Linked DNA regions of Caenorhabditis elegans. The protein of the gene in region 1 purifies or fractionates together with the protein of each later gene. This does not show direct contact. Each region holds a gene or a part of one and is shown in the gene's direction. Other genes may lie near its edges.

The links.
Region 2: the proteins of cid-1 (region 1) and rsu-1 fractionate together in Caenorhabditis elegans (co-fractionation; one large-scale study listed by BioGRID). This does not show direct contact.

Annotation. Positions count from the first base shown.
Region 1 is NC_003281.10:5,168,870-5,182,685, forward strand, and holds cid-1 (4Fe-4S ferredoxin-type domain-containing protein), read left to right. Parts: upstream 1-5,052; 5' UTR 5,053-5,122; coding exon 5,123-5,204; intron 5,205-5,501; coding exon 5,502-5,959; intron 5,960-6,079; coding exon 6,080-6,242; intron 6,243-6,292; coding exon 6,293-6,600; intron 6,601-6,762; coding exon 6,763-7,755; intron 7,756-7,804; coding exon 7,805-8,338; intron 8,339-8,420; coding exon 8,421-9,277; intron 9,278-9,789; coding exon 9,790-9,898; intron 9,899-9,947; coding exon 9,948-10,359; intron 10,360-10,690; coding exon 10,691-10,901; intron 10,902-10,946; coding exon 10,947-11,067; intron 11,068-11,154; coding exon 11,155-11,184; 3' UTR 11,185-11,638; downstream 11,639-13,816. Other genes in the region: ulp-1 (Sentrin-specific protease), read right to left, coding at 478-614, 681-782, 831-870; prp-19 (Pre-mRNA-processing factor 19), read right to left, coding at 1,487-1,690, 1,740-2,122, 2,186-2,924, 3,021-3,173; K10D2.5 (uncharacterized protein), read left to right, coding at 3,921-4,046, 4,091-4,183, 4,230-4,367; Anaphase-promoting complex subunit emb-1, read left to right, coding at 4,577-4,708, 4,778-4,891.
Region 2 is NC_003281.10:3,468,029-3,478,177, forward strand, and holds rsu-1 (Ras suppressor protein 1), read left to right. Parts: upstream 1-3,974; 5' UTR 3,975-3,980; coding exon 3,981-4,068; intron 4,069-4,534; coding exon 4,535-4,623; intron 4,624-4,679; coding exon 4,680-4,881; intron 4,882-5,061; coding exon 5,062-5,330; intron 5,331-5,381; coding exon 5,382-5,540; 3' UTR 5,541-5,691; downstream 5,692-10,149. Other genes in the region: smim-14 (Small integral membrane protein 14), read right to left, coding at 1,021-1,224, 1,653-1,715; C34C12.9 (uncharacterized protein), read right to left, coding at 6,227-6,472, 7,054-7,143, 7,300-7,422.

The DNA of each region.
Region 1 (13,816 bases):
GTTTATATACCGTATATTCTCTATTAGTGCTGCATCTCCAGTAGTACTGCAGTCTCTAATAGTGCTGCATTCAAAAAGGGTCCGAAAAATAGTGCTGCAGTCTCTATTAGTGCTGCACCCCATTTTCTATTGAAAGAGTCACTTGACAGTTTCGATATTTTTGGGTATTTTTTTGTATATTTTATGATTTTTTGATAATTTAGGAAAGTAATTGAATTATTGGGTCTTTTTTTTACAAAAGTTCGCAATTTTTATGAATTTCTGCTTAAAATATGAGGTTTTGTGATTAAAAACTAGTGATCTATAATTGAAAATAGCCGTTCGAAAATTAATGCTGCAGTCTCCAGTAGTACTGCAGTCTCTAATAGTGCTGCATTAAAAAAGGGCCTGGAAATTAGTGCTGCATGCAGCACTAATAGAGAATATACGGTATTTGCTGAACTTAACTCCGAAAGTTAATTTATTCTCAAAATATACCTCAGCAACTCTCCTCGTCGTTCCTTCCACTATAATTTCATCATCCTCTTGAACTTGAACTTCGCCCGAAACTTCAGTTTTCTCCTTTTCTCCCGAATTACTGCTTACGAACATTCCGAAGAAGGTATTGAAAAGCCCTGAAATGTTGAAGATCGCTATTTCAAATTTATACTTTTATGGATCAAGGAAAAGGATTCACTCACCACCCAATCCTTGAGATTTCGTTTTTCTGGTTCTTTTTGTTGGCGACTGCTCTTTTTCTTCGTTTGTAACAGCTTGATCGGTTAACCAATGTCGTTTTCTTGCTAAATATTTTAATTAATTTCAGCTTATTTTTCATTCACTTCTCCTACATTGAGAGTCTTTGTCTGATAAATCAGACCTACGTGACATTCCGTTTCTCTTTCAATCGAATATCGTCTATTTTTGATGTTCCAGATTCAAGTAGCTATCCTGAAATATAGTTTTTAGCTGCTTTAAAAGATTTTTGCTATAGTAAATACTATCACAAAGGGCAACATTTTAAGTTTTTCAGCCAAAATAAAGAAGGCAATTAACCTCTAGGCAGTACGTAATCATTCAATTATTGCATAAATTACTTTTAATAAAAGAATAGATGAATGGGATAGAAGCGGAGGAGATTGGCTGCAGATCATTTTTGAATGAAATGAATAAAATTTGGGGAATCTGGAGAAAAGTTGAACTGTTAAAAAGATAAATGTGAACAAAATAAAATCCAATAGATAAAAATAGAAAGAGATCTCACCACAGGAAGACAGCCAATCAACTCTTTTTTTTTTGTTGATTCACAGTGAAAAGGAGAATTTTTGGAATCGATAATATATGGTAACGAGAGATGGAGAAAGAATAATAGTTTGTCAGCTTTTCTATAGATGGGAATATTTTCAACTTGACTGAACAATCCGGAATACAAAAAAAACAAGGAAACGAAACGGGAAAAATGTGGTGAAATTTTGAATAACTTAGTAATAAATGGTAATAAAAACAATTAGAAAGAGAATACTCGGAGACTCTTATCCAATGAACACGTCACCAATGAACGAGCATTTTCTCCGAATCTAACTCCAGTGACTGGTCCAGAATGATCAGAAAGTGATACAACTTCACTCCAGCTCTTCACATGCAAAACTTGAACTTTTTGGCCACCAATTCCTAGGAATGTTCCAGTCATGTCGAAGGACAGGGAGTTGATCTGAAAAAATTATATTTTTTCATTAAACATTTGCTTAACAATTTCTTACCGGTTGTTTCTCTTCGTTAGCGAAAGTTTTCAGATTCTTCAATTTTCTAAGATCCCATAATTTGACCTCTCCATCCTCTGATCCCGTAGCCAAATAATATCCGTTTTCAGAAAACGCAATCGAACGAACGGCAGCAGTATGTCCCGGGAATGCAGCAGCCACGGTTTGATTCTTCAAATCCCAAATCTTCACAACGGCATCCGCAGCTCCAGTTCCAAAAATAAGACCATCAGGATGGAACTCGATGGAATGAACGGCAATTTGTGATCCTGGTTCAACTGAAACCTTGCAAAGCGATTTTCCGGAACGAATGTCGGAGAATGCCCAGTAAGAATCATCAGAAGCGGAGAGAATGTAATCACCGGATGCATTGAGGGAGATATCTGTAAAACATTGTTTGTTCAATAGAAGAATTACAGCTAGCGAATTTTTTTCAAATATCTCACCTGTAACGGGTGCCTGATGGACATCAATAATAGCCTTCGAAGACGAATCAGTTGCACTCCAGACTCTAATATGTGAATCAGCAGAAGCAGAGATTGCAGTAATATTATCCGGATGCAAAACAACTGCGTTGATCTTCTTGTTATGCCCCTTGAATGTTTGCATAACCTGTTCCTTTTCATAGTCATACAAGACAACGGTTTTATCAATTCCTCCGGTAAGTGACAAATTTCCCTTGATATCCAATGCAGTAATTCCAGGAGTTCCAGTCGAATGAATTCCAGTGTGAGATGCTGTCTGTTTCAGCTCGGCGAGCTCTTCTGTTTTGGCAAGTCCTTCAGGAAGATTTTTTCCTCGTTGTTTACGTTCAGCAGTCAGACTCTTTGATTTCTCTTCAAGTTTTGCCAGAATTGCCTCACTAAGACCTTGTTGATCTTCAGACTCGTCAATGCTGACATCATCGTCAACTTTCGCCGATGTGTGTGGTTTCAAAGTAGACAATGCTTCTCTAGCAGCGGTCAATTCTTTGGAGAGGCGGGAAATAACACGACAAGCGGCATCGTGTTGGTACAGAGAGTGAGAAAGTTCTTGACGAGCAATTTGGAGTTGTTGTCGGAGAGAGAAGCTGTTGAGCATTACTGTATCCCACTCGTCTTGAAGCATTTTTAGTAGAGATGGGATGGATGTTCCAGAGACATTGCGTGGTGCTGATCCAGTGCCGCCACTTTTCAATGAAACGAGCTAAAAAATGAATTTTAGAAATTATTATTTTGTTTTTTCAATGAATTATCATTTCGAAGTTTCACGTCAGTGAAGATAATTGCAAGGTTGACAAACCTGGTCTTCAGAAAGCTCTCCATGGCTGATCGGATCTGTTCCGTTTTCGGCAATGAATTTAACGATCAGCCGACGATCAAAGATGTGCCCTGAGACTTGAGAGACGACTGGGTCTTCGGTCAGTTCACCACTGATTCCGCACACGAAAGACATCTCCTGAAAGTAGCAAAATATACACGAAACCGCTTGATTGACGTGGGACATAAACGAAGAAAGTTTCAATGCGAATTTTGTAGGATAATTACATTTATCGAACGAGTGGTCAATAAATACGTACTCTGGCTAGTGACTAATCGAACGGCGCATTGGATCAAATGTTTTAAACTTGTCTTTAAAAGAAAATCTAGAATTTTAACCAGTTTTTCATGAAAAAATGCAAGTTTTCAAGTCAAAGGAATTCGAGACACCACGGTTTCAAGATCTGATGGGATCCCGGATCTACGTTTTCCGGATCTACCATTTCCGGATCTACGTTTTCCGGATCTACGTTTTCCGGATCTGGCACCGTGCCAACGCACAAAACGCTTTTCAACGCACGACTTTTTTCGAAATTTTCTTCTAGAAGAAACGCTTAAGAACACGCGACGCGTAACATCGCAGCGTCGTTGTCACTTTTTTCTTCGAAAAAATAGCGTTTTAAGAGTTGGCACGGTGCCAGATCCGGAAAACGTAGATCCGGAAAACGTAGATCCGGATATGGTAGATCCGGAAAACGGAGAATCCCACCAGATCTTGAAACCGTGGTGTCTCAGGAATTCCATGCAATGAGAATTCGAAAAACTGCAGTGGAGCGTACTTGCTGCAGCTTTTCCGGGCGGGGCCGAAGAAATGTCGGCCATGAGACTGGGGAATAAAAACGATTTGAAAAAATAATTTGGATTTGAATTTTCTTCCCAAAAAATGCAAATCGGGGAATATGAGCTCACTTTCATCGATGTTGCGGTGTTTGTGGTGTTTCTCGTGGCTTTGAATAAAATTGTTAAAAGGATGCTTGTTGCAAAAATCAATGAGCCAGCGAAATATGAGGTAATTTGCAAATAAATCTTGGGATGTGAATTTTTGTTTCTCAGATCGAACAGCTCGAAGAGCGTGATATGACAATGGAAGAAATCGAAAGCATGCGCCGCGAGGAGAACAGGTGCCTGGTCATTGTGGAAGACAAAGTAATAAAATACTTTTCGGATTATCAAAAAAATAAGTTTATTTCAGATTTACGACCTCTCTGGCTCACAAGATCTCTATGACAACAACCGCGATCTTTTCGAGAGTAGTGAAGGATGTGGACCTGAATGGGCACCGATTTGTGCTAGGAAATATCCATTCGTCGGACACGTTTTGAAGAATTAATTAAAATCTCAGCGGGAGTTTGATCAAATTTCGGGTTGTTTAAGTTGTGTCAGTTACATCGTGTTTTTTTGTTGTTAAATAAAACGGTTATTTTTTTTCATACATTGCTTTTTACATCTCTTATTATTATAGGCTGAAACAACCTTCATTTTACTTTTGCCCGTTTTTTAGATGACTTTGATTCAAAAAACCACGTTTACAGATCAAGTATGGCTTTGATGTACCCATTCCACGTAGCACAACCTCCACTCAACTGGTCCGAGCACTTGTGGGTTTCCGAAGTCTCACCAGCAAAAGAGTCATTCATCACCACGATTTGTGAGCACCGTCAAGCTCAATGGGTACGTTTTTATTTCAAAATCACACTTTTCTGAAAAAGTACATTGTTGTTCATTCTAAATTTATTGCAGGATAATCAAGATCTTCTGCGTCACTTGCAAGACAGTGTGGCTATTCTGACTCGTGAAGATCAACGTCATGTGAACGCTGTCCATGCAGCAGCAAATATGCCTGCAAATCCTTGAATTCCCTATTCTACACCATATTTATCTGTAAATAAAACTCGATTTGGCATACCATTTTTTTTAATTATGGAATTCATTTCCGAGGTACTGACCTCGTTATTACCTAATTTAATATTTTGTTCTCAAATTATTCCAGATTTTATTCAATCGCTTCTTTTCAGTTTCATTGGGAAAGACGAACCGAATAATAGGTATTAATATTGTACTGTAATTATTAAAAAGAGTTGTGAGATGACCGATGAGCAAAGGTCTGGAAGTAGGCGGAGAGGAGGAGCCCTTGGAGGTGGAAGGGGAGGAAATAGCCAGAATAGTGGTGAGTTCATGACTAATCATTTTTAAAAATTCATACAATGAAGTATATTAGGCCCTTCGTATTGCTTAAAGATTGAGGTTTTACTGTTCTTAGTATTCAAAAATACCGTTGATTCACTCTCTACTATAACTTTTTCCTTATCAATCCTGAAGTTATTGAACAGTTTTAGCAGAAACGCCACTTTTATTTATTTATCAACTTTCTTATCAAACAAAGTGAAAACTTTATAGCAATTTTCGAACAGAGTGTTCTTCATTTTTTCTTAATTTTCATATTGAACTAACATTGAACTTACAGGCCGGAAAAGATCATCAAACAGTCCAGCTGATTCGGCTTCCTCCTCCCAAAAGACGAGCAGAAATCCATCGCAAAATCGTCCTCCAATGAACATCGTTCCTCAAAAAGTCACAATTCTGAAACGAAATCAGGATTCTCAGCCAACATCTCCAATAAATCGGAATGCGCCACCAGGACCCTTGGTTGCCGCTGTACAACCATTGATGGCTGTTGAATTGGGCGATTCGGGAGCTTCATTGAAAGGATGGAATTCAAATCCTACTACTCCAGAGAAAACAACGATTAATGTTGCTGGACGACAAGCAGAAGCCAACAAAAAACAGACGCAAGAGTATTATTTCTCCAAAAATGCCGGGTCAGCCGTGTCGGCTCAAACATTTCAAGAGACTGTCCAGTATCCAATGAGCTCATTTCCGTTGGAAAAGAATGTACCTATTCAAATTGATAACAATTTTACGGTTAGTTGTGAATAAAAAATTAAAATCATTCGCTGTATTCCAATAGAACAAAATTCGTACTTTAAACTTTAAAATAGCAAAAAAATGTATGAAATTAATTTTTAAAAGTCAAGTTTTTAGCTGTTGATTACTCCAACTACGAGCAAGTGCAATGGACTATTCATCAAAGTAAAATTACAACATGGAGATGACAATATCACAACTGGAGCTCTGTTGAAATTGGATGCAGATGAAAAGACGATCAGAAAATCTTGCAGGGAAACTATTGAGAATCTCTTGAAAGGTTTGAACTGAGTTTTCCGATTTCATTTCACTGTTTCTCAACAGTTTCAGCAAAGTCTTCATCCGACAGATTTCCATTCTCAAAGTGTTCTGAGGGATTTCTGACTTCTTGTTTGATCAAGAAACTTGTCGATCGTCTAGAAGCGTTCCCAGAGGCCATATACTATTGCGAAAAGTGCGATTATCATATTAATACAATCGGACACGCAAAAGCACACTTAGAGAGCAGTACACATTTTGATGATGTTAAGCGACAGGAACAACGGGAGCATCTTTTGAAAATTATTCCACCTCCGACTGAAGCACATTTAGAGAGTGTTGAAAAAGTTTTGGAAGGAACATTGAAATCGTATCAACAGGTTAGATTATCTTGAAACTGGATTGGAAAAAAACGAAATTAACGGAGGATAAATTGTGATTTTTCTCTAAAAAGCTGAAATTCAGAAATAAAATTTCGTTTTTTCTATCCGGTTTCGATCATTTTTCTCTCAACTAACCCTTCTCTCGTCAAGTATTTTCAGGTTCGTCAAAATGGAATCGAGATCGGTGAAACAATCATCTATTACTTGAGTACTACAGTATTCCCATCGATTGGATTGCAAGATGTGATACTTCGACCATTTGGATCTGTAACATATGACGTCACACTTCCGGATAGTGATTACAATGTGGCATATACTATGTCAATTCCTGAAGGAACTCCAATATTTGCATTACTTGAACAAGTTCGAAAGAAGATTGCCGATGATGGACATCCAGCTGATCATTCCATGGAAATGGGAACACCGTCAACAATTATATTTACATTCAAAGGAGTTCGAGTTAAACTTTGTTGGATGTCATGTTTCAATCATCGTATACAACTTCATTTTTCTGAATTGATGAAGACCTATGTAAATTTACGAGAGGAAGTTGCTCAATTTCTTCAACTTATTCGTCTTTGGGCAACGAAAGCTGGCCTTGACTCCAAAAATAAGCCTAGAATCGGACTTCCTCGATATGGATTTGATATAATGGCCATTCATTTTCTTCAGCAGATCGGATGCCTTCCAGTACTTCATGAACTTTTTGAAGCAGGTCCAGAAACTGAGAAAATTGAAGAAATGAGTGCTGAAAAGACAGCAAAACTTCAATCGGAAGAAGCTGGGCAACGTAGAATGAGATTGATGTCTCGATATGAGAAGAATACTGAAAAGATTGGTACGAAGTTCGACTTGAAGAAATCTTGGAATCTAGCTGAGCTCTTCATTGGCTTCTTTCGGTATTATGTTGAACGACATCGGGACGTAGTCATCCAAATTACACAGCTTATTCCAATGAGTCGAGATGTGAGCCGTTGGAATAAAAAGATTCTTCATGTTGTTGATCCATTCCGTGGTGACAATGTTCTTTCAATACCAAAGGTTTCTACTTGGCAACCATTCTTTTTCAATTGTCTCCTAACATCATTTGTATCGTTTTCGATTCCAAGAACCAAGAATGGACCATTAATTGAAGTTTCGTTTGTTCATAATGTAAGTTTGGTTTCTTTTTTGTTTGATGTTTTTATATCTATTATTCCAGAAAACTATCAAACCTGGAAAAAAGTTCAAGGATACTCCAAAAAAGGCAACGGTGGAGGCACCCATTCCATTGACTCAAATAATGGAAGAACATTATCAAGAACCTGTATATGAGATTGTAAATGATAAAGATCATCTAAAATATATGAAAGAGCTCAAGGAACGTCTGATGATTGATGGAATCTTAGTGAATGAACGAAAACCAATTGATTATCACACTGATGATCATCGAGAATGTGTTTATGGTAGAAATTCACTTTTGCGATTCAAGAGAGTTCTCAAACCAGGACTAAATGGAAAAATGGCAGCATCAATGGATGGATTGAGTTTTGTGACGAAAAAAGGAAAGAAATTCATCAATCGGTGGAAGAAGGCGAACGTCATCATTTTATCGGAAGATTCTTCTGAAATAGACGAAAAGACGAAAGCAGCTGATAGTAATGTGTCCGAAATTGCAGAAAAATTGGAGGAAACCCTCAAGATTTCTTCTCAAAAGAATATTGACGTTGCAGTAACATCCATGCCTGTTTCCACGGTAATTTCAGATTTTGAAATTTTAATTAATCACTGACAAGTAACTTTTGATTTTTTTAAACTAATTTTTACTCAATTTTTAGGAAATCAAGCCGGAACCCATCACGAAATTATCAAATGAAGCACCAGTGAAGATAAAAAATGTTGCTCAACCTCAATGTGATCTCATAGAAGCACCACAAGAATCTCTAATGAATGAATCTATGATGGAATCCAGTTTCGATGAAACTGAATCTCCAATGAAAACTCCAATTGTTCAGAAACCTGTGAAACAAAATGCGACATTTGGGAAATCTACGATATCCACAGTAATCCCCGATAAGCAATTCTGCAGTGAAGAGTTTTTCATTAAATTGAATTCGAATTTGAAGGATATTGTATCCAAATCGAAAAGTCTAAAACCATCAGATTTTCATTATGAATTCTCAACTGATCTTTTCTGTGGAGACTTTGAAATGGAAATGAAATGTACACATTGTGATGGTAGTCATTGTGTTGAAAACTGCCCGATGATGGAAATTCCACCGATTAAAAAATATCAAGCAAGAACTCCCGAAGATTTGAAAGATATTGATGATATGATTGATAAATATTATCATGAGAATATTCTTGATGAACGACGGCTCAAAATGTTGGATCACAAGATTGATGAACTTCAATCATTTTTAAGGAAAAACTATCGTGAAGATGTCACTCTTACAACATTTGGAAGTGTTATGACAGGATTAAGTGTCAATTGTTCAGATATTGATATTTGTTTGAGATTCGGAGATGGAGATGTTCCGCCAAAGGATTTGACAGCAAAAGAAGTTATTCAGAAAACTGAATCCGTTCTCAGAAAATGTCATTTGGTAAAGAGAGTTCAAGCAATTGTCACTGCAAAAGTGCCAATTGTCAAGTTTCAAGTGAAACTTTCCAATGGAGCAATTATTGATGTCGAGTAAGTTTAGAAGATTTAATTTTTCAAAATGAACAGAATTTTTAAAATATAAAATCTCGAAAAAATTTTGACTCGTAGTTATAGTGTTTAGTTGAAAAAGAATCATAGTCAATAACTGTAAAATCCCAAAAAAAAAACAATGTACACTACTCCAAGGGCACGTGGTGTCAGGCTGTCCCATTTTGGTTTGATCTACGTAGATCTACAAAAAATGCGGGAGAAGAGACGCAGAGTTCTCAACTGGTTTCGCATGGTTAAGAACCTGCTGACGTCACATTTTTTTGGGGAAAAAATTGCCGCATTTTTTGTAGGTCAAACCGTAATGGGACAGCCTGACACCACGTGCAAGGGGAGTACACGAGCTGCGTAAATCGACACGAGACCATCTCAGAGGTTTACGATTTTCACATATATAAGAGTTTAGAAAAAAATTGATTTTTTAACTACTAGGAATATAGAAAATAAGTGGATGAAAGATAATTGTCATTATCTGAAATTATTCTAAATTTCAGTATCTCCTACTACAATATATTGGCAATCTACAACACAGCTCTTCTGAAAGAATATTCATTGTGGACGCCTGACAAACGTTTTGCTAAATTGGCTCTCTTTGTGAAGACTGTAGCTAGTTTTTCTTATTCTTTTGAAAATTTCATCCTCTAATTTCCAGTGGGCCAAAAATTGTGAAATCGGAGATGCATCACGTGGATCATTGAGCTCATATTGTCACGTCATCATGCTCATTTCTTATCTTCAAAACTGTGATCCACCGGTTCTTCCACGCCTTCAAGAAGATTTTCGAAGTGATAATCGGGAAAGACGACTCGTTGACAACTGGGATACGTCATTTGCTCAAGTTGAGACCAGTTTGCTACAACGTTGGCCTAAAAACAAAGAATCGTGTGCTCAGCTGCTCATTGGATACTTTGACTATTATTCGCGTTTTGATTTCCGGAATTTTGTTGTTCAATGTCGACGGGAAATGATATTGTCGAAAATGGAAAAAGAGTGGCCGAGACCTCTTTGTGTAGAGGATCCATTCGATTTGAGCCATAATCTGAGCAGCGGTGTTAACAAGAAAAGTATGTTGCCAATTGATTTATATCAGATGTTCAGATGTTCAGAATCAGATGATGTATATTAGTTTAAAAAAATGTTCAATCTTCCTGTTTGAATTTCCTCCAAAATGAGAACTGCACGACAAATCAGCGCCTTCGAACTCCACCCATTCCGTCTGATTGGTTCAAAAGTGGGCGGAGCGAGTCGCTAATTAATCGTAGTTCTCATTTTTAAGGAAGTTCAAAAGTAATCTTATAAAATTATTAAGTCTTGTTTTTAAAGTTAGATTTTTATTCCTGACTTTTAGACATTTTTGAGCATTTCAAAATGAAACTGATATTTTTGTTTTTTCAGTGTTCGTATTCATTATGAAAGTGTTCATCAACTCACGAGCAGTCTTCATGTCTGAGAAACCACCGATGAATCGAGATCACACTTTCCTATCATCATATCAACACCAGTTACTTCGAAAATGCAATCAAGGATCCGCTCCAACTGATCGTCAATGTCATCAATGTCATAGGATAGGACATTTTGTAGAATCGTGTCCGCAAAGAGCCCTGGCGTATGTTAAAGCAGAAGTAGAATTTTATTAATGAACAATTTTCAGAAAAGAAGCCCGGAAGCGATTTGGATCAAACTCGACAAACTCATCATACCGATCAAATGATAGTGGAAGAGGATTCAAAAATGGAGAGGAAGGTGGCGATCGTCTGACTTATCACAAAAGGGTATTAATTAATATTTTTTTAAGTTTAACACTCTTGTTGGCTTTTATTCAGCAAGTTTCTACGTTCATAACATAAAAATATTTTCAGACATACTATCATCGCTCGTACAACAAATAAATTCTCTCCACCCATTCACTTCACACAACAAACTGGATTTTCACCCCCACGAAAACTATTCTGAATGTGTATACATACGTATATATCCAGAAGAATATTCTAGTTCTATTTCCCCATTCCCCCACTATAATCATCTTTATAATTTTTTTCTTGCTTTCATCGTTCCCCTAGTTAATCATTTATCATGTGCCTTCCAGCGTTCTTCCCTACTCCCAAAATGTTTTAGGATCCGTGTTTTTTTTTGTTTTTCTTTTTTCAAATTCTCTGAATTATAATTTAAAAAGAATCTTCCTAAATCTAGGAATCACATTTGAGTTGTTGTACTTTTTCTGTTCGTTTTCTGTTGTGTTATTTGTGATCCAAACAATTCTGCACCATTAACGGGTCCATTTTGGACACTATCACCAACAGTCTTCCCACCCAATTTTTTTTTCATAATGAAACTTTCCCCATGATTTTTTTGTCTCAAAAGTCCCTAAAAATCCAGTTGCCAACGTCTCTCCACATCCCACTCTTTCTTTTTTTTTTCACTTTCGCATAGTAAAGCAACAAGACATTAGGAAACCGTGAGAGGGTCTAGAAAGTGTACGAAACAATCGGGAGCCCGGGCACCCGGGGATGAATGTGTTTACTCGGCAAAATTGTGTGAGAGAAGCAACCGATCAGTTTTCTTCTGATGTCTACGTCTCGAATGCTCTCGATTTTTCGCCCATTCAGTCTCTAATCACTTTTCTTGGATCATGTTCGTGCTGTACAAGTTGGCATGTTTCGTTATCAACTGTTTGATTCCCTGATTACAAAAAAATTCACCATTGGCTGCCAAGGACAACTAAATTCTGTTTTTATCTGGGAAAAACTTCACTAAATTCTAATTCAACACTGTTCAGAAAATTGTTAATTCGTAAAAATTTACCACCATTTTACGATTTTTTAAATTGAATAATACGTTTATGAACGTGTATATCTTAAACTCTACAGATAAGCCTGAATTTACTATAAATATTAAAACTTTTATAAAACTTCTAGCAGCCAGTTTCAAGTTTTTGCGAACAGACGATGAATTAATTTTTTAATGCATTTGAGGAAAAGTATCTCATTATTTTTTATGCAATATTTCAAAATGTTGGCCAATAATTTGAAAATTAAATTAAATTATCGTTTCCAGCTTTGATCAAGCGAGTTTAAGCTCAATTAAATGTTAATTTCGAGGAAGTTATTATCTTTTTTGAATTTAGCGGCGGAGAAATTCGCGATGGAGCGCATTTCCACCTTCTACTTTTTAATGAATTTTTTACCGGTTTTTTCTATTTTGATCATCGCGCGAATGTTTTTCTCGTTTTTGTATTGAAAATTGTTTGACTTCTCAAACGAAATAATACTTTTCGTTGTAATTTCCGTTGAATTCGAAAGAAACTGCTGAACACTGCAATGGGTTACGTCATTTCCCGCAATGAGGTGCGTTTCCTCTCAGTGCGCAAACTGCAAGAGAGACCAGACAACAAATAGATCAAAACGTGCCGTCCGGACTTGTAGACGATCTTGACCAAAATGCGCCAAATTCTTTTTTCTGTCAAAGTAAACCAATACACATGTGTTTTTCTTCTCCTGTGTCTCCTGCTCGTTCGTTGCGTTTTGATCTGTTCGTTTTTTACAGTTTTCTCTTATTTTTCAACTTCGTTTTGTTCATTTCCACAACTCATTTTCTTCTCTTCTTCTTTTGGATCGGACTGTTCATGTTCGTTTTCTGGTTTTCTCTCGTTTCCTCGACCACCTCTCAGCGCAGAATGGTCTCTCATTGGGCCTGTCGACAGTCTCTTTTTCTCTACGCCCTCTTGATCTGACACACTCTCTTGCCGGTCTTCTCATATTTTCCGCCCGAATTTCCCTCATTTTCACATCCTAAAAATGCCGAGTTTCGATTGAATTTGATTCAGATAGATCTCTTTTCAAGCAAAAAAATTCATCGACGTTTTGACATTGCTTTTTTCGTTAACAAAAACCAAAACTTTTCTGATTTTATCGCCGCCGATCAGCCGTTTTCTTTCAAGGCGGCAGGTGCATTTCTGGTTTGATTAAAAATATGAGGAAATCAATGTTATTCATGTTTTCTCATATTCTTCTCTCTTGAAATCACTAAAAACATTAAATGACCCTCTATTATTGACTTTTCAAACCCTTTCTGCTCTGAAAGAGACTGTTTGCTCTTCGAATCGATTTTATTTTCGTGATTTTCATCGCAGCCCTATTTTTTAGTCATGAATTTTTGAATTTTGGCCTAAAATTTTGTGAAAAAGTTTAGTCTCGGAATATTTCCCATCTTTTGAGAGAACGGTATTAGATTTTGAGTGCAAAGAGTTTTTCTGTTTTTTATAACACTGACACTAGCGAAAACGATGCTCTTTAATCCTTGATCGCTACTTTGCGGCACTCAAATATTTTATCAATCAAGTCGATATTTTCCACTAAATTAAAAAGTTCACTCTAGATGGACTCGCCAAAAAATTTAATGGACACGCAAAATATTAGTATCCAAGGGCTCATTCTCAGCTTTTGATTGGCCGATTCAGATTGACTCAAACCTAAAATTCTTTCCTATTCCCTTTTATAAAGTTGATAAGAATTCAAAAACATT
Region 2 (10,149 bases), 1.7 Mb from region 1:
TCCCCGAGGAGAAGTTTAGAACATTTTAAAATTTGAAATAGTTTAATTTTATATTTAAAAATCTGAAAATCGATAAATTTTGTTTTTTTTTTTTCGATTTTTTCAACAAAAAAAAACTATCGTATGAACCAAAATTGAAAGTTTTCTAGTTTTTTTTTGTTGATATTGCGTAAACACAAAGTTCTGACGCTCAAAATATCTCGTAGCGAAAACTACAGTAATCCTTTTAACGACTACTGTAGTTTTCGCTATGAGATATTTTGCGCGTGAAATATGGTGTGCAATACGTATTCTCTGAATTTTGCGTTCACGTAATACTAAAAAAATAAACAAAAATTCCAGGGAATATTTTTAAATTGTTTTTTTTTCAATTTAGCAATAAAGTCCAAAATAAGGAACTGGGTATTCCATATCCCCTAAAAAATTTTTAATTTTTTTTTTCAAAAATTCAAGTTAGACTGTAGGACAAACACCTATAAAACCCGGTGATGATTTCTTTTTTCGCGTCTCTGATAACTGATTGACCGGTCAATGTATTGCCGGGCGGGCACAAAAAAAAAAGATTAGAGACGCAGAAACGCGCTCCACTGCCAATTGAAAACGCTCCGCCCCCAAACAGTTGGGTCTCGTTAGGAATTTGGCGGAAAAACTGGGAATTTCGCTGATTTTTATGCCGAAATTATTGTTTTTTTTTCGATTTGGGATAGAGAATACATTAAAAACAACGAAAACTGCTTGAAAATTTGAAAATCCGGTTTTCCCGCCAAATTCCTAACGAGACCCAACTGTTGGGGAGCGGAGCTTTTACGTTTAGCCGTGGAGCGTGTTTTCACATCGATTTCACAGGTGATTTTTTCTGCGTCTCTCTAATACAATAAAATTAAGATACTTGTGCAAAAAGTACCGTAGTACTTTAAAGGCGCACACCCGAAATTTTAATTTTTCGTGGCGAGACCCAAAATTGGCCGTGGAGCGGGTTTTCTGCGCTCTTGTGATAAATCCGAACTTGACAATACTAACATCAGAACTTCCAGTTGGTTTTTCAATTGCTGCATCATCGGCGGTTCTTCTATCAGATCTCATTGAATTGGGTCTCATCACGTAAAGTGCCATTGCCATAAATGTCCATAAAAGTGTCCACATCATCATTGTATTGCCACCTTCACGACTCAAACCATCATTGTCGCAACCCGTATCTGTGCAGTCCGCTTGCGAGTTTCGGAGCTGCAAAATTTTGATTTTTTTCAAAAACATTTTTTTTTTTTGGAGTTTTATGACGATTTGCAATGGGTATTCAGATACGATATGTTGTGATTTTGTGCGTCGGGGTCTCGACACGACAATTTTTTATTTTTTTGTTAACTGCGAAAAAGGCGTGCGCCTTTAAAGGGTACTGTAGTTTCAAAGTTTAGTTGCTGCGGAATTTTCATAGATTTTTAGTAGTTTTTCGACAAAAATATAATAATTTTTTGAACCAGAAGAAAGCGATAAAAACAGAAAAACGTTTGAAACTACAGTACTCTTTAAATGCGCACACCTTTTAGCATTTCATATCAAATTTATCGAGTCGAGAGCCGAAAATTTGTTTTTTTTAAATTGTATTGGCAAATTTCGCGCTAAACCCCGAATATTTCCATAATTATTTCCCTTACCATAGCCAAAAGTCTTTGCATAGCAGATTCATGATCGAAGAAACATTCACACGGATCACTCATTCTCTGAAATTGCGAGTTTCCGTCGTTGAACTTCACAGAATCGAGAAATGAAACGAACAGAGAACGTGGACGGGAAAATATAATAAAAAATAAAAAAAAGTGGGCAATGCAACGTTGCCTTACAAAAATATTGCTCAATGGGGAGAGATTGCGAGAGAAAACAGACAAAAAATCAGCTGGGAGACGACGGGTTGTGATGGGAAACCATGCACATTTTTCATGAATTTAATGACTTGAAGAAGTGAAAAAATAATGCTTTCAGAGCAAAAAATGGTGAAATTAGAATTTCGGCCAGTTTTTTGTTGTTTCCGGATTTTAGCCTAAATTGTGTTTTTTCTCTAAAAAATTACCAAAAAATGTTGCTGAAGAGTTGAAAAATTTTTGAGCATTATTACCCAATTTTGCGATTACGGTACCGGTACCAGGGTCTCGACACGACACATTTCTCTCAAATACATGTGACTTTAAATGTGTGCCTTTAAAGAGTACTGTAATTTTGAACTTTTGTTGTAGTTACGGAATTTTCATAGATTTTTTTGTAGTTTTTGTCACGAATTGTTAAAAATTTATTCGATTTCATTAAATAAATATATTTTTATTTAAAAAAAAAATTAAAATTGTTGAAAATTCTCTTTAAAGGCGTACACCTTTTTTGCAATTAATAAGAAAATTGTCGTGTCGAGCCCCGGGGCGCAAAAATCGCAAAATTTCACGTCTGGGTATTATAAAAATATAAAACCATTTTTTAGGCCGATAAATAATAATTAATCACCAAGTGTATCCTCCACACAGACTACAAAATAAGAAAAAGAGAACCTTTTGATCGGAAGCGGACACACATTCCGTATCTGTCGGGAGGGATAAACCGGTCTTTGATCTACTTTTTCTCGGGGATGTAATTCATTATAATTGACGACAACTGACAAGACTAATTAATTTACGAGCGTGTCGAAAATCGATAATTTTGATTATTTTTGGACATTAAAGCCTTTTTTCAGTCTAAAAATCGGTTTTTTGGCCAATTTTTAGAAAAAAAAAATTTCATTTTAAAAACTGACGTTGGCTGTTGGTTGGCAGGGAGGAAGAGACATCTTTTTTTGTTTATTTGGAATACTGTGAGAGAGAAAAGAGGGCTTAGAGATATTGATGACGTTTCATAAACGGATTTATGGGCACTGAACGGAAGGAAATTAATTTTTTTTTTTGCTTTTTTAAACTAAAAAGTGAAAAAAGAGAGAAAATGAAGCAAAAAAAAAAGACGACGAGACAATCGAAATGTTTACCTTTTTCTCTCTTTCTACTGAATTTTTTCTTATCGCTTTTTGCCATCTTAAGACAAAATGATTAAAAATAATTAAAAATCAATAAATGCTGCCTTCAGTAACCTTAAAGGCGCGCCTCAAGAACTTAAAATTAGTAGTAGTTCGTTGCGAGACCCATCACTTAGATTTTACTTGTGCCCCTTTAGAGGTGTACCAAAAGACGAACATTTTGAAGAAAAAATTTGTTTTTTTAGATTAAAAATAAGAAAAAAGGAAAAAAAAATTTGTGTAAATCTAATATCTAAAATTTTTTGATGCCGAAGATTAAAATTTAGAAATTTAAAATCTTTAAAAAATAGGAAAATCTAGAAAAAACACACAAAACCCAAACCTTTCAAAAAATAGAATTGATCGCAATATGGGCCCGAAAAAAATCAATCAATAAAAATGTAACCTTCTCCTCAAGGAGGATCCTCCTTCCGCCCATCGCTCAATGAACTTTTCACTGCTTCTCATCGTTCTCTTGGCAAACTGAAATGTCTCCAGCACCCTGCGTCTCTCCAACAGTGTAATACTCTCTCGCTGTACACACTTTCCTTTTCCCCCCATCTCACCCCACACACGTCCATTCCGCCTACGATTCGCTGTCATTTCTTCTTTTTCTTTCGTCTTTCGTCCCCTCTCTCAACAAATATATGTCTCTGTGTCTTTACAGGTTCATGTACTATCTCGTTGGAATCCCCTTGAATGGTATTCCAGCTGTGTTTCCTTTTTTTCCCATTTTTTTGCTAGTTCTTCCGCAATTATATTTAATAGAGGATTAGAAAGTGAGAAAGTGAAAAAGATCTTTGGAATTGCTATTTCTTCAAATTTTTGTGTCGATGCACCATGTCAAAGTATGAAAATAGTCATATTTAACACTGATTTTATCGTTTATCAACTCGCGAAGCACCATTTCCTATCCACAAAAAAAGGATGTAAAAAATTAAAATTTCAGGTAAAAATGCCAAAGGACAAGAAGAAAGACGAAGTGACAGAGGTTGAGCATGTCGATCGGAATATTTCGTCGTTTTCTCAAATTTCACATCTCAGTAAGCATTTTTTTGAGCTCTGCGCCACATTTGACGCGCAAATCTTCAATTATTCCATGGTTTCGTATGCATTAGAAATTGATCTGGCGGAGCAGCAGCTGTTGCTCTGTGCTCAGCTCCTCCGCGGGAAAATCGTAAATAGAATTTGCGCGTCAAATACGGTGCATTGGGTCTGTAGATCAAAATAAATGTGTTGCTTCTTAGGCTGAGGCTTAGGTTCAGGCTTGGGCTTAAGCTTAGGCTCAATCTTAGGCTTAGTCCTAGGCTTAGGCTCAGGCTGAGGGTTAAACTTAGGTTTAGGCGTAGGCGCAGGCGCAGGCGCTGGCTCAGGATTTGGCTTAGGCTTAGGCTCAATCTTAGGCTTATGTTAGGCTTAGGCTTACGCTTAGGCTTAGGCTTACGCTTAGGCTCAGACTTAAGCCTAAGCGGGATAAATTTTCGAAATCTTCCAAAAATTGAATTCCAGTCGATGCGGAAATCATCACTCGTCTCACTTTGAGCCACAACAAGCTCACTTCAGTACCACCAAATATTGCGGATTTGGTCAGTCTTCAGGTAAGCCAACCCTACATCAAGGTAATCTTCTTAATCCAATCTTTAAAAAATTGCAGTCCCTGAATTTGTGGAATAACCAAATCGAGGATCTACCTCCATCGATTTCATCTCTTCCAAAACTTCGAATTCTTAACGTCGGAATGAACAAGCTGTCGATTCTGCCACGTGGATTCGGATCCTTCCCAGAGCTGGAAATTCTTGATTTGACCTACAACAATTTGAGTGAACGATCATTGCCTGGAAACTTTTTCTTTATGCGTAAGTGGGGGAAAAATTGGAATTTTAAATTCTTGTTAGGACTGGAATAAGTTTGATCTACAATAAATGCGGGAACGTTTCGCCCAGAAAAATGTGATGTTGTACACTACATCAGTTAAAAAAGCTGAATCTGGGGCATCCGGTGTTCCCTTCTCCGAAAAAACCTCTCCCAATTTCCAGAAACCCTCCGCGCCTTGTACCTCGGAGACAATGATTTCGAAATGCTCCCCGGAGACGTCGAAAATCTTACAAATTTGCAAATCCTCGTGCTCCGTGAAAACGATTTGCTCACTCTTCCAAAAGAGCTGGGAAAGCTGACACGTCTCCGTGAGCTTCATATTCAGGGAAATCGTCTGGCTATGATTCCACCAGAGCTCGGAAATTTGGAGTTGGTCGGGTCAAAGCAGGTGCTCAGATTGGAGCACAATCCATTTATTCCGAGAATTGAGGTACATATATATTTTATTTATTTTTTATTTAAAAATTTTCTGTGATTTTAGGAGCAATTCGAGGCCAACGGAGCCGCCGGAGTCTGGGCTCACATCAGAACTGACGACTATCGATATTTCTTCGGTCGTCAGGAACCATCGTCAACTCCAGTTCCACCAAAAAGAAATAAGGAGAAGAAAGTATCGAGAAAAGGAATTCAACAAGCCTAAAATTGCCATTTCAACCCAAAAAATTTTTTGACCTACTCATGGTGCTGCCTAAATAATGCTTTACTTTGTTCAATATTGAATTGAATTCAATCATTTAATTGTGCCTTTTTACACTGCAAATAAGAAATACTAATAAAATTCTATCGAGACAAAAATCATCATTTTATTCAAAAATTATGCAAAAACTTGTTTGGATTTTGCGTTGGTCAGCAGAGAATTCATGGTAAGACTAGATTATGTAATAAAAAATTAATAAAATTATGCGTGATAGGAAGGGGAATTGGGGAACCAAAATATGACAGAAGCCAGGAAAACCAGTAAAGGGAATTTTTAACAAATTGAAAAATAATCGAAACATAATAATATTAGCAGAATTATTGTGTCTTTGATAGTTTTCGGTGCAATACTGGTGTCAGACTGCCCCATTACGGTTTGACCTACAAAAAATGCGGGAATTTTTGCATGACGGCAGCACGTCCTCTAATCATGCAAAATCAGTTGAGAACTCTACTCCCGCATTTTTTGTAGATCTTCGTAGATCAAACCGAAATGGGACATTCTGACTACTCGGCCACTGGGATGAATTAATTATGACAGCCGTCATTGGCACCAGTCACGATGCACCATATCTTACGCGCAAATTCAAAACTTCACCAGTACCTATTAAACACACAATAAAATAGATCCTAATGTTTAAAAATCGAAAAGCACGAAAAAACGCGTCTCAAGTGACTTTTCCTCTTCTTCTTCGGCGGGTACGGTAGATGTGTGAAGCTTCTCGAAATTGAGCATTTCTCATGATTTGCGAACATTGGATTTATATGGGATTCTGGTATTGATGAGATTGTTGTGGTTGTTGAAGGGTTTCCAGTTGAAAAAAGATTTCGGAGAGATGAGTAGAAGCCTGTCGACGAGCGAACTTTGTAGTCGTCCTGGAAAATTTTATTTATTTGGAGTTCTGAGAAGTGATTTTTGCACGTGGTGCCAGAGTTTCCAATTTCGGCTTGATCTACGTAGATCTAAAAAAAATGCGGGAGAAGAGACGCAGAATTTTCAACTGATTTAAATACAACCTGATACCCACGTGATGTCAGGCTGTCTCAATACAGTTTGATCTACAAAAAATGCGAGAATTTTTTGCCCAAAAGAATGTGACGTCAGCACGTTCTTAACCATGCGAAATCAGGTAAGATAATCTCCCGCATTTTTTGAAGATCAAACCGAAATGGGAATTTCTGACTCCACGTGGACACCGTGTGTTTTTGTGCATTGAATTTTTGAATTTGTGCGGAAAATTTGGACCATCGAATAATCAATGCATCAGATTTCACGCGCAAGTTTTTGATTGACTGAAATATTGTCTCCAGATCTTTTGAACTTGTTTTTTTCGTTATTTCGAGCCAGAAAAAGTGTAGTTTGTCAAACAACAAAATATTTAGATATTAGGAAAATAATTTTGAAAAACTCTGGTCAAAAACTTTTTGGGATAGCCCTGACTGGCCTAAAATCTCACCTGAAACTTCAACAGCTCATCAATCTCCACAAAGCCCACTGAAGAGGCTTTTCTGCTATGACACGGTGCTACGTCATCCGCGTGTGACTCCTGTAATTAAATCGATAACTTATTATGTTTCTCCGCTTATCAGTTTGTGCTCCCCGAAATACTAAAAAATCACAAATTTCACTGATCAATGAGCTCTTGACTCATTCGTAATGAAAAAAATCAATTAAAAATTCATATTTCATGAATCATACTTACCATATCAGGCGACAGTGCCTGTTCGATATACTGTAGTTTCAGGCGATTTCTCAAATGAATCGGATGATTTCTCGGCGGTATTTTTGGCGGTACTGATGCATCTTGTGAACTCTCGTTCTGCATTTGTGCGTGAAAGATTTGTGATAAAACGTGTTGGTGGAATTTTGAATTTTTTAGGGCTGAAAAATTAGAAAAATAATAATTTTTTTCATAAAAATCTAGAAAAACGAGTGCTTAAAAGAAAAATGGGACAATGATGATAAGAAGAATGTTTGATAGATTTCCGGAAACAGTCTTTTCTTTCTCTTAAAACCGACGTTTTAAGAAGAGAAAAAGACCGCCGGATGTGTTATCAGTTAAGCAAGTCAAAGAGAGACAGAGAGAAAGTGAGAATTCCCGAGAGACGCAGGAATAATGAGGGGGTGGAGATGGGTGATTTTTGGAGAGACATCAAGGTATATTGCAATGTATTTTGGGAAGTTCTACAAGAAACAAAAGAGCTGCAAGAAGGGATTATAGTTTTAGGACGTCACTGGGGTTTGAACCACGGAACATTCGACCAAAAGGCGAAGTCGTTACCGACTGCGCCACGGGTACACAAACTTAAGGATATTATGAGAAATGCGGAAAGTTCAAAAACACCAGACTTGACGAGCAAAGTTTGAAAATTCAAAAAGTTGAGAAAAATGCAAAATATTATGAATTCGCGGGATGGTGATAGATAAAAAAAAGTGTAAGGCTTGCAATTTGTAGCGTAAACAAAATAATCAGTTTTCTGGAATTCCAGGGGGAAAAAACAAAGTTGCTCGTTACAGTAATCGGCTCCGCCTCTTATTTTGCAAGTTTGAATCGTTCAAAGAAGGGTCGCATAATTTTTAAATGTTTGGAAATGCCTTTAGAAAATCAAAATATATTTTAAAAATTAGTAGAAGCGTTAAAAACTGAAGTTGTCAAAAATGAGGCCACATAGATTAGAGAAATTGGTTATTTGGGAGACGCTGATTCGCGAAAAAATGGGGCGGAGTTAAGGTGAGTGGCATAGTTTTTGTACTTAAATTCTTGAAAAATTTACAGCATACAATGAAAAATTAATATAAAGCAATTTGATGCCCAAAACTTTAACAAAATCAATAATAGACAAGGACAACATTTTGGAAATCTACATCCCCAATTTTATTGTCTTCGAGATTTGTGAGGTCTCAGTTGATTTCGGCAGATTTTTTCGCTTTTTTTTTAATGTCTATGTTAAGTTCGCATACATTAATAGAAAACTGAACAAAAACGCCGGAAATCGCTAGTTCAGTGGAGCGAGAATGCATTTCCGGTGAAATTTTTACAGGAGCAAAAATGGAACAAAGAAAAATTAATAGATACTTAAAGTGGAAAAAAAATGTAAAAATAGAACTGGGGGTGGTAAGTATATTACTATTACATACAAACAATTTGTAGTTTTAAGACTTTTTTGATCAACTGGTGATTGTAGGAGGAGCAGTGGGGGAAGAAAAATGAAATGATAAGATGGAATGAAAGAGGAGGAGGAGGAGGAGAGGAATGGCATACAGTTTGGGGGCGGAAAAGAAAAGAGCATTTCCGGTCTGCAAATTGAGGAACTATTTTTTTAGTTTTTTTGTTTTTCTGTTTTTCTGTTTGTTTTCTGAAACATTTTTCGTTTTTTTTGCTTAATTTGGAGCAAAACTAATAGAAGACACTGCAAAAAAATAAAATAAAAAGAATATGTTCCGATCTCATTCTGGTCTCTTCCGATCACCAGAACACTCAAAAACCCTGTGATTCTCCTCACATGGCAATCTACTCAAAGTTTCCGTTTATTTACTCTAGTTGAATCAAGAAATTAAGTAAATGATGTCAACCTTTGCACCATTGACTCACTCGGTTTGAGCCGTACGACCTGTACAGCTGTATGATGAATATGCATCCGGTTTTATGATTAAACGATTAAAAACTTTTGCTAAACCCAAAAAAAATTGGAATAGAATTTTGTCAACCACTAAATTATACATTTTTTTATTTGAAAACTGAAAAAAACTAGTTTTCACAAAAATTCCAAAAAAAAAAAACGAAGAACCAGAGTCTAAGCCTAAAAACAAAACCAGAGTCTAAGCCTAAAAACAAAATCTTAAAAATCGGAGTCTAAGCCTAAGTCTAAGCCTAAGCCTACGTCTAAGCCTAAGCTTAAGCCTAAACCTAGATCGAAGCCTAATCCTAAGCCAAAATTAAGCCTAAGCCTAAGCCTAAGCCTAAGCCTAATCCTAAATTTAAGATTATGCCAAAGCCGAAGCCTAAACTTAAGCCTAAGCCTAATTTTGGGCGAAAAATCAAGAAAACCTGAAAGCCTAGTCAAAATAAAATTGCAAAACTCTTTGAAACAACAAAAAATGACGTTTTCTCTCCTGTCGGACATCAAAAGAGCCATTGGCACCAGATGTTTTTCAAATGAAAAATCTGTGATTTTAAGAGAGAGGAATTTAATAAAATATGATGATGGAGGGTTGGACGGACACCGGAAGTGAAGCAAAATGTGCAAATTTATTGGATTTTATTATATATCGAATAGCAGAAGGGCAATGGCAGAAGATGACGGGGAATTATCTAGGAATTTGCTCGAGTTATACTTTATATAAAACTACTAAAAAAGTGCCCGGGAAGGAATCTTAGCAACCGACATCATACGGTTTTCAATGTAGCGGCGGGCACTTCACTGGTCTCATATTGAGGCGAACATCTCAGTCTTAAACATTGCGGCCGACACCTCCCGGTTTTTTTCTAACAGCTGAAACTTGACAGTTTTCATACAGCGACCGACACATTACGGCTTTAGCGGCCGACATT